Linked DNA regions of Schizosaccharomyces pombe. The main gene of each other region encodes a partner of the protein of the gene in region 2 in a complex. Each region holds a gene or a part of one and is shown on either strand. Other genes may lie near its edges.

The links. The genes of interacting proteins can lie anywhere in the genome.
Region 1: brl2 (region 2) and brl1 share a complex: the UniProt entries of both Schizosaccharomyces pombe proteins name them as parts of the histone H2B ubiquitin ligase complex.

The regions. Positions count from the first base shown.
Region 1 is NC_003421.2:2,238,108-2,242,654, reverse strand, and holds brl1 (histone H2B-K119 ubiquitin ligase complex (HULC) subunit, ubiquitin-protein ligase E3 Brl1), read right to left. Parts: upstream 2,809-4,547; 5' UTR 2,681-2,808; coding exon 602-2,680; 3' UTR 501-601; downstream 1-500. Other genes in the region: pep3 (ubiquitin-protein ligase E3), read right to left, coding at 1-150; transcription factor TFIIIB complex subunit Bdp1, read left to right, coding at 3,369-3,399, 3,445-3,936, 3,987-4,547. UniProt on the Schizosaccharomyces pombe protein: E3 ubiquitin-protein ligase which belongs to the histone H2B ubiquitin ligase complex (HULC) which mediates monoubiquitination of histone H2B to form H2BK123ub1.
Region 2 is NC_003421.2:487,902-493,667, reverse strand, and holds brl2 (histone H2B-K119 ubiquitin ligase complex (HULC) subunit, ubiquitin-protein ligase E3 Brl2), read right to left. Parts: upstream 3,888-5,766; 5' UTR 3,601-3,887; coding exon 3,511-3,600; exon of another isoform or gene 3,447-3,510; coding exon 1,494-3,446; 3' UTR 1,299-1,493; coding exon of another isoform or gene 884-1,298; 3' UTR 837-883; coding exon of another isoform or gene 606-836; 3' UTR 561-605; downstream 1-560. Other genes in the region: sec8 (exocyst complex subunit Exo4), read left to right, coding at 1-68, 119-560, 606-836, 884-1,298; wtf antidote-like meiotic drive suppressor Wtf9, read right to left, coding at 5,149-5,231, 5,282-5,344, 5,385-5,576, 5,622-5,766. UniProt on the Schizosaccharomyces pombe protein: E3 ubiquitin-protein ligase which belongs to the histone H2B ubiquitin ligase complex (HULC) which mediates monoubiquitination of histone H2B to form H2BK123ub1.

The DNA of each region.
Region 1 (4,547 bases), 1.8 Mb from region 2:
AACAGGGAACTGCAGTTGCACCTTCTCTAAGGAAAATACACCTCTTTGCTCCTTTTCGGGATTATCAGCTGTGTATTCCAATTCCGCATCTTCTTGAATATCTGAATCTTCAGAAGAATTAGGATCAATCCAATCCTCGGCCAGACTCATTGTTCAATGGGATTGCACGCGTATCAATAGAAAATGAGATGAATTATTATAATTCCGCTGCCAATATAAATTAATTTACCAATATTTAAAAAAATAATTAATAGTAATTAATTGTTTCCTATTTCGCTAGTTACAGTCGCTACAGATACACACCCTCTATTTTTGGCACATGGATAATGGAGAGTGAGTCATGATGCTAGACTTGCGAAACTAGCATATGAATGAACGAAGTTGCTTAATGGAATAAGTTAATCAAATTGATAGATATTACTAGTTTTTTATTAAAAAAAGCATACATATTTATATGTAAATAAATAAATAAATATATATATATATATATATATATGTATATAGGATTGACTATTCTTTCAATAACTATTGATGCCAAAAAATATATTATGTACCAAAATAACAAAAACATTACGTTAATCATATAAAAGATGATCTAGAATTAAAGATGAATGGTCAAAATGTCGGAAACCGAAAAAGGTGTTTCACACTGCGGACATGTACTTGTTTTATGCTCATAAAAAGGTTCCATACAATTAGAACAAAAGGCATGACCACAGTTTGGAATGAGTTTAGATTTCCAATTAGAAAAGTTGCACACGGAGCATTTTAACATTCCTTTGTATACTTGAGCCTCTTGTGTTTCATATGCCTGGTTTATAAGATGAGACTCTTTCTTATTATACGAAGCTTTTATGGATAAAATAGTATGCTCTTCTTGCAAATGAAACAACTTCTGATGCATGATCATAAGCTTTTCCCCAGATTTTTGAACAGACTCTATAAGATCTTCAAGTTTTTGAGTAAGTTTTGTTTGCTTAACTTGTAAGTGCTTATCTTCTGTTAAAACTTCGACCGAGTGTTTCCCGTAGATTTCCTTTATTTGTTTATAAACTTCCAATTCAGCTTTTAAAGAGGATTCATATTTTGTTAGCGCATGTTCTCGCTCTTGCAACTTCCCTATATAATCATGTTCTTTATTTTCGGCCAGTTTAAGAGTTTTCTTCTCTGTCATAAGAATGTCCCGAGCTTTCATGGCAGCAAAATATTTTTGGGTGGCACGAGCCTTTTCATAATGCATTTCCAAAGCTTTTTTCTCCTTCGTTTCAAGTTCTTCATATTTCTTCAACAAACGAGATTGTGATTGATCAAATGCTGCATACATACTTGGGAGTTCAGCCTCCAAACAACTATTATTTTTTATTAGTTTTTCCAAAGCTGAAGACGCAGAAATTTCTTCTTTTTCATCTAGGACATTATTCATCTCACCAGTCTTAGACCTTTCAATACGATCCCATATGCACAATCGATTTGAATAACCTTCTAGAATTGCAACCCGAGCGTTTGACAAGTTGCTTAATAAAAGCATCATATCGTCAAAAAATAGATTGTTAGTATATTGCATTTGTTGTTTCGCCACTAGAGAGTCTCGTTCGTTACGAATTTGGGTTAAAGATGATTCAAGGGTTTTAATAAGTTGTTGTTTCTCTTTTACACATGCCAATTTTAAATCAATAATATCCTTCTGTCGTTTCGTCCGTTGAGAAATAAAAAACTGAATGTCCTCAAACAATGAAGAGAGGTCCCGATTAATGGATTCGATTTTCTCTTCATTTGAAGAAAGAACCCCCTTCAGCTCTAAATAATGGGGCTCTCTACTCACTCTTTCATCCGTTATACCCATAATGTCGACGTACAATTGTGCTGCACGAGTTGATTTTTGAGAAAGTTCATCCAATTTGGAATTTATATTTGCTTGCATCAAATCAGCTTGAGATTGAAAATTGTTTTTTAGTTTTGAAATATTATCATTATCATTTAAACATCCTTCCCCATTTTCGAGAATTGCTTTTGGTTCCGAAGCAGGGATATCATCAGCGATATTTTCAATACTTCTTTCGGAAGCACTAGTAAGCTGATCTTGCTGCACCCGTTTCCATTCTAATTCAGCTGAATTCAAAGCTTCACGAAAGAAGGAAAGTTTCCTTTTTAGGAGTGCCAACTTAAGTTGGCTAGTACGGTAATTAATCATACTTGTAAAATGAACCTGGCGTTGGTCTATCCATTCATGGACGTTTGGAGTTTCTTTTAATTTAAAAGAACCAAATTTAGCTAACTTTTGTAGAGTAGGTTCATGGGCTTGAAAATAGGAAGCATACTTATTCAAATAGTTTTGCGCATCTTTGATTAAACTGAACTCAGCAAGTGACAAATCTAGTGTCTGTAAATTATCATCAGGTTGATATAAAGAAGCAGTGATTTTCTCTAGTTCTTCAAATGATTGTTCATGATTTTCCAGAGCAGCAGCAACGTAATGATCAAGTTTCAAAACTAGAGATTCCCAATACTCGTATAATTTCTTTTCCAAAACAGTGAGATGCTCATACTCTCTAGATCTTCGCCAAGCTGCTTCCTTTTGAAATAACTCTAAGTCATCTTCTTCTCCGAGGTCTAAACGACGCGTTTCTTTTTCGCTGTGAATAAGACGTCTTCTTTTCCTCGATTCATTCACAACGCTCATTCCACTTCAAAAAAATTCCTTTTCTATTTTATAATTAAAATAAAGTACTTAGGATCAAAATATGTGCTCATTAACATTCACTAAGCCAATTCCTACGGTTAATGAGTTTTTTCAGGTTATCTGTACATGGTAGTCATGTCTCGTTAGTGAGTCAAATAGATTCCTCGCTATAATAATATGTTTCTTTACCTTAGTTATGCCTGTCTTTAAAGTCGCCTACGAAGTAGTAATTTGTATAATATAATTAATATTGGCAATGACAAAATAAACATTAGCTAACGACAATGGCTTCTTCAATTCCTTCGGTGGTTATCTAAATTGCTGAATTTATTCTACTATTCATATTAGTGTAAAGTATTTTCTTGCTTTATCTGTAAACTATAGCTTACATTTCCAGCGTTTTATAATAACTAAGTTTGTTCGAGGCTGACCCTGATTATTTCTACCTTTAGTTAATTTTATATCTTACTCAATCATTGCGACTATAAAACTTTTTACACATATATATTAATCTATTCAGACGGGCTTGCTTGGTTTCGTTGTACAGTTATACCCAGGATATAACCTCTTTATTAAAATATTACTGGTTCATGGACAACAGGCAAATGTTTGTACAAACATATGCGCACTGCCACATAATTTTTGAAATTCATGCAATTGAGTCGAAGTTACAGTCTAAACAGACTCAATGAGCTCGCAAATATTAACCTCACCTACAAGTACGTTTTTTTAAGTAGTAGGGCTTTCCACTAATGTTTTACCAGAAAAATCAATGTCAAGGTTTGCCCCTAAATTTACAGCCCGTAGAGAGAAAGTATCGGACCAAAAAGAGGTTGTTCATGAAGAAAAAAATCAACCCCTCACAGGAAACGAAGTAGAAACATCCGCTCAGCTGTCTCGTGATACTGCCAATGCTGATATTTCTAGTCCGGTTGTGCAAACAGTAGTTCACAAAGAGGCAACTGAAAATCCCACAGCTTCATCCTATAGAAAAGATGATTCAGTGAAACAAAATGAAAAACTTTTGCATTCAAATCCTACTTTTAAAATTTCTAAGCCAACGGTTCTTGAGCAGCCGTTAAATGCTATTGAGCATTTGTCGCCTGAAACCGATTTATCCTCTTCAGCCGAACAGCAATTTATGAAGGAATTAGATTTGTTTTTTGATGAGAACATTCCCCTTTCTCAGCTCAGTGCTGTTAGTGACGGAAAGGCGGATTCTCCGGCTACAAAAAAGTCTCGCCGTTCATATAGAGGTACGTAAATAAAGGGTTAATCTAAAATGCATTATTTAATAACATCATAGAATCTTCTTTGAAAAGAAAAAGTCAATTGATATTGGAAAACGTGGGTACCGACGAGAAAATCATTAACATAAGTGAAACCAAAATGTCTGCTTTATGTGATGATCCTGGAATTGGCCGCAAAAGTCAACGATTTATCGAATTAGAAAAAATGCTTTTTGAGGAAAAACGAGCAAAGAGGATTAAAAAACAAGGAGCAAGTACTGCAAGCTCTAGTCGAGAAGCGTCTTTAGATTCTACCATCAAACAGCCTTTGAGTGCCAGTCTTCTAGAATCAAGCGAACCGAAAGAGAAAGAAGAAATAGTAGGAAGTTTGGAAGAAGAGGGTACGGATGAGTCTGCTTCTCTCGAAGATAGTCTCTCTCACCCAACAAAGTCTATTCTTGATCAGTTAGCAGATAAAATGGAAGTTGATGGTTTGAATAACAACTCCAATTACTCTGCAACTCCTCGTACGCGAGTTGTTAATGGCCAAATTGTTCTGGATGAAACCTCACTAGAAGTCGACCGTCATGAACGTGATTTTGTACCAGCAGAGGAACGCGAATACGTTGAAGAAAATT
Region 2 (5,766 bases):
AGAATTTTATGAATTATTACATACTTTGCTTGTTCGTTTTCGCAACCATTGTTCTGATTATCTCTCTGGTATGTTTCATTTCCATTTTTTCACTGTTTCCCCAGCTTACCCTTTATAGATTTGTGCAGAACGGCTGTTCTCAAAGAATACAAACATGTCAACGAGGATACTGAAGATGTCGATGATACTGTTCGAGTAAAGCTACTTCACGACGATGTAACGTACCCTCAATTTATTAAATTCCTCAAGCAAAAAAATCCATCACTTGAAGGGTTAAATGAGCTTTGTCGAATGGAGAATAAGCGTTTATTACAATATGAAGATCGTGCGATTACGTCCGAAGTTAAACTTCCGGTATCGGTTTTATCCAAAGATTCCGACCTAGTGAACTCGGTTTCTTATCTTCATAACTCCATGGAATGGTTTCTTCAGCGCTGTTTTTCAAGATTTATGAACGGTTCGCGAAGAATGAACGTTTTGCAACAAAACCAAGCTAATTTCGGTGGTGACTTTTTACCAATTGATAATTTGTTGGGTAATAATTCGGATTTAATGAAGGGGTATGTTACTGTATGTATTGAACTTTATACTGATTTTTATAAAAGTGCATATAAAGAAGTCTTTGATTCTTTACAGAGGCTCCAATTCGATGCTTTACTGCTAATCCGAATGGAAGTTCGGTTACAGTACATTCATAGTATTAATCAAAGTGTAAACCTTCCTGACTATGTTGTCGAGTACCGCGGAAGACCAGATGCTTCGATAATGGCTCTCAACTCTACTATTGTGACGACGAATTTGAAACTCGAAACCTGTTTGAATGAATGGGAACGAAGGTAAATAACAAATGAATTCCTTATATTGATTTGCTAACTTTTTATAGGTTTGTATTCCAAGGTCTGAGTGAACTGGTTGATTCATCGCTATACTCTATCTTTTACAAAATAGAATCAATGAATAGAGGCAGCTGTCTTCAGATGCTGAAAAATATGTCAGCAATGATTCAGATTCTTAAGACGGTTAAGGAAATTCATGGCGACGTTGAATTTCCTAAATCTTCTAGAGTCTTTGGAATATACCAAAATGGTGCCAAGAAAATTATCGAGCACTTCATTGCTGCCCCCAAAAAGGAACTTTTGCCTGACGTTAAACAGATGGTCCGAATTTATTACCAGCGATTAATGAAAGATGCAAAAAGAAACGGAAGGGACGATCTTTATCGGCAGTATCAGAAAAAGATTGGCTCGGTTTTAACTCAGTTCGACAACACTGTGGGTGGTGCGAGAAAAAATCCTTAACCGTATAATATAGAATTTTAATTATAATGACGAGTAATGATTTTATAATAATAAATTTATTAACTAAAAACATAGATGCATTGGATAGTTTAAAAACTACGTGACCTAGTTTCAAAGATTATATTAAGGAAAATGATTTGTTATATATACAGCGTTTTCCTGAAAGACATAATTTACACAAATAAAACATATTCTTCAAAGATGTATCGGAATAACATCAGAAGCACCAAATCCACGACCGCAAATCGGGCATCTGCGTTGCCGTGTTTCAATCCGTTTTTGTATGCATTGGTAACAAAAGCCATGACCACAGAGAGAAATAATTCGATCTTTCCAGCGCTCGAAGTTACAAACTGAACACTTACACATGGCCCTAAAAGTTTTTAACTCTTCAGCTGACGTTGATACCCCAGTATCCTTTAACTTTCGCTTCTCTTTTTCATGCTCTTCATCTTGCTTGGAAAGTATATCTATAGAAGATGATAAATCTGAGCATTGAAATTCAAGGTCTGTTAATGTAGCATTATTTTTATCCATAAATTGCTGTAAATAAGACACCTTTTCTTCCAGGTTTTGAATAGTTGATTTTTGAGATGACTTTTTGACTTGAAACGTTGTTGATTGTTTTATAGAGTTATTTCGAACCGATGATAGACGGGCTAGCTGATCTTCAAACTCTATTATTCTATGGACAGCAGTGTCTTGGCTATTTAACATTTTTGAGATAATTTCGTTGGTCTTCTGGTACTTCTGGCGCAGTAACTTTACTTCAGCATGAAGACTATCTGTAGACTTCATGGTCAGAAAATATTTTTGCTCCGCCTTTTCCTTTTCGACACTAAATTTGGTTATCAATTCTTGATAATGGGAGTGGCTACTTTTCACAGTTTGCTGTTTTACCAACCTAAATGCTTTTTCAGTAGAAGCCAACTCTTTAGAAAGGTAAGTTGACAGATCTTTTTGTAACTCCAAATCGTTAAGGTCTACGAGCCGGATTTTGTTTGCAGCTTCACGGGTAGCCACCGCTTTTTTCTTTTCCAATACCATTGTCTCTAAATTCGCAAGTTCATCTAACTTGTCTTTGTAGACCTTCTCTTTTTGCTTTTTAGCTTCCAACTTCTTTTCAAGGGATAAGCTTAATTCAGTCTTTGCGTTATTAATTCTTTTTTCATCGTTTTGCATAACAGATATTTGATGATCAAGATCGTTTATTAACGGCTGATAGGAAGATTCAAAAACACCGTTAAAATTCTTTGACTGTTGCGACAATACATTTATTTCGTGAGAACATTCGGACAATAAGTGCTCTAATACGCGTAACTGCTCAGATGTCATAGAAACAGCTTCTTTAAGTGCTAAAAAGGAAGAGTATTTTTTCAAGTTTGTAGTTTCGACGTTGTTTAATGCGTTTTCTCGTTCCATAATTAATTTATCCATTTCATTAACGTTCGAATCCAAAATTTTAAGGCTTTGTGAGCGAGACTCCATTAAACCATTTTGTTGGTCTTGAAGCCTGGATAATTGTTGCAGTTGAGTACGTTGTTCAACCGTGCTAACTTTCTTTTCTTCATCTTTCCCCTTAGAGGAGGTGGTTGCTTCCTCTTTCACTTTAGTAGACTGGGGTCTCACTGATTCATTAATGCATTGCAAAGTAAAACTAGACGAGCGATCTGGTAGTTTTATAATTGAATGAAGCTGAGACCGAGTGGTATCCAATTCATCTAAAATCTTGTCAATATCCAAATTAATGGTGTTTAATTTCTCAGTAAGGGCAGAGTCATCAATTGATAAAACTGAAAAAGGATCTCTGGAGACCGAATTTGTGCTTGAGTCAACAGTAGACAAGAGTTTTTGAATGATGCTCAAGGCTTTAGTTTTATTATTTTTCACAGCGTCATTGAAGTATGAAAGCTCCGGGAATTTCTCCAAAATCGAAAAAACACCTTCACTCTCGAAGTCCTTCAGCTCATTGCCTTGAAACACAACGCTAAACTGCTGAAGTATTTCAGGCCACCAAGAGACCAAAGTAGCTAAAACTTTTAATTTCTCTTCTGCTAAATTTTGAAGTCCCTCTATTTTACTTTCTAACTCATCAAATTGAATGCTCCTCACTCTTACATCCTTTAATAAGTCTTCTTTAGAGACTTCCTTTAACAGAGTTAGCGACATGTCTTAACATTCGAATGCCTAAAGGCTCAACACGTTAACATACCTGAATATCATCATCTTGTATTTCTACATCTTCAAGTTCTCTTTTCTGGCCTAAGATTGTGGGGGCATCTGGTTTACCATTCTGATACATTCTCGAAAGTCGTATACATCAACCTATCAATATAAATTTCCTTTTTTTCAGAACAATTTGTTTTTTAACGAAAAAAGAAAACAGCCAAAACCTAAAAGACAGACTGTATTTTTCTTATACTAAACGTAATAACGCGTAATGAATAAGCAAGTTATAGATACGCGTCTTTACAGATCTATTTCAAATTCTCCTTCTTAGTTGAAACTTGCCGTATTGAAAATATGCAATTCGAAGCGAATTAAGTTAATTGCCATTCAATACAATAAAATGGGTAAAAGTGAAGTGGTAGAGGGCAGACACGAGTTTACGATCTATTTACTCAGTCACTAAACTACTTTAGTGAAAAATTGTCGTATTTGAAGAAATTCGAGTTAACTATCCATCTGGTATCCACTTTAACGAAATGTAAAATTGCGGTGAGTTTTCCTTGTGATCTATTATATTGCAACACACAGGTTGTATAAGTAGCAACTGAGTATAGGTATTGTATTAACTGGGTTATAATGTTACCTATCACTAGTATAGCTCATAACTGAACTGAGGAACGAGGTTCAGTTGTAACGCTATTTATAAATGGCTGTTATCAACGGGTATTTATGTACATAGACGAATAGTTACCTGTGATTATCAACAAGCGGATCTTAACTAGTATTTCAACATATGACATATAGTGATACACTACGTTGCGTATCACTATATGTCACATGTTCTAATTATATATCGTACCATGTATGATACGATATGGAGATTAATCTTAATGATAATCTATTCAGATCTATATTATCTGAATACTATAAATAGAGCTACCACTGAACTGAGGAACGAGGTTCAGTTATGAGCTATACTAGTGATAGGTAACATTATAACCCAGTTAATACAATACCTATACTCAGTTGCTACTTATACAACCTGTGTATTGTAATATAATAGATCACAAGGAAAACTCACCGCAGTTCTACGTATCCTTAAATCAGATACCAAACTGCGTAGCTTACACGTAATTACGATAACAAACCATCGTTCTAAACCACAATATTCTATTATGCTGCTCATTATTTTGTAAACATTAAATTTTGTTTGAATTGAACCATTAAACAGAAGGGAAAAATGATTATTAAGCTTGATTAAATTAAGAATCAAGATGAAGGAGAAATGAATGTAACAACGACAATGAAATTGTGAATTTAACAAGGTGGAACAACGAGTTTTCCGATTTCATTAGTTGATTTAAAGTTGTCGTAAACAAGTTAAACCATTATTGTTTGTAGCGTAGAGTACCATTAAAAAAGACAAATAATTAGACTCGCATACATTATAAATAAAGACTTCGGTCCTCAATGCACATTATCCAACATCGTAGAATGCATTGGTTGAAAATCTTTGGTAATTGAAAGAATAAGTTAAGCATATATTCCATAAACTTATAGTGAAAGAGGATGATTAAAGAAAGTTGGTGCTAATTTTTTAAAAAACGCCGCAGCTTCTCTGCATTGGTGATTTTGGTAAAGAGGTTTTCCAACTGTAGCGACAACTACATTAATAAAGCAATTAGACTTCGCTTTCGGCCTCCGTTTCTTCCAAGGGAATGTCATTATTATCGTTGGCACCTCCAATCGCATTTGCTATACCTCCTAGTCGGGTAAGTAAAAAATCATTCATACAGTTGGTTGAATACACATACCTAGGAAAGAAGCTATACCATTCCTGATAAATTTGGGCATCCTTTTGAGAGCACCTGGACATTCTGATACGGTTAGAGTAAATTACAGGAATATTAAACAAACCCATTTCGTAAAAGAAAAGAAAATTTCCTATAACAAAGAGTGAAGAGGCTTCAATTTCGTAGCCTGTCCCGTCGATATGTTTATCAAATAAATGCATCAAACCTTTCTGTACAATAACGACACAACTTTGTACACCCAGTACTTGAAACAAACCAGAAAACATATGCTTGAGTGTCCAAAATGGAAGACGAACTGCGTGTTAGCGGTCAGTAATGGTAACTCCATAACTTCACATACCATATAGTAAAAATAAAAGTAAAGCAGCTGAAATACTGCATGTAGAACAGATGAGAGCCTTGTCTAAGTTCAAATTACCGAATTTGGCGCGAAGAAAAAGTGTATAGCAAATGACTACCCATAATAGCCAAATTATTACTACCCA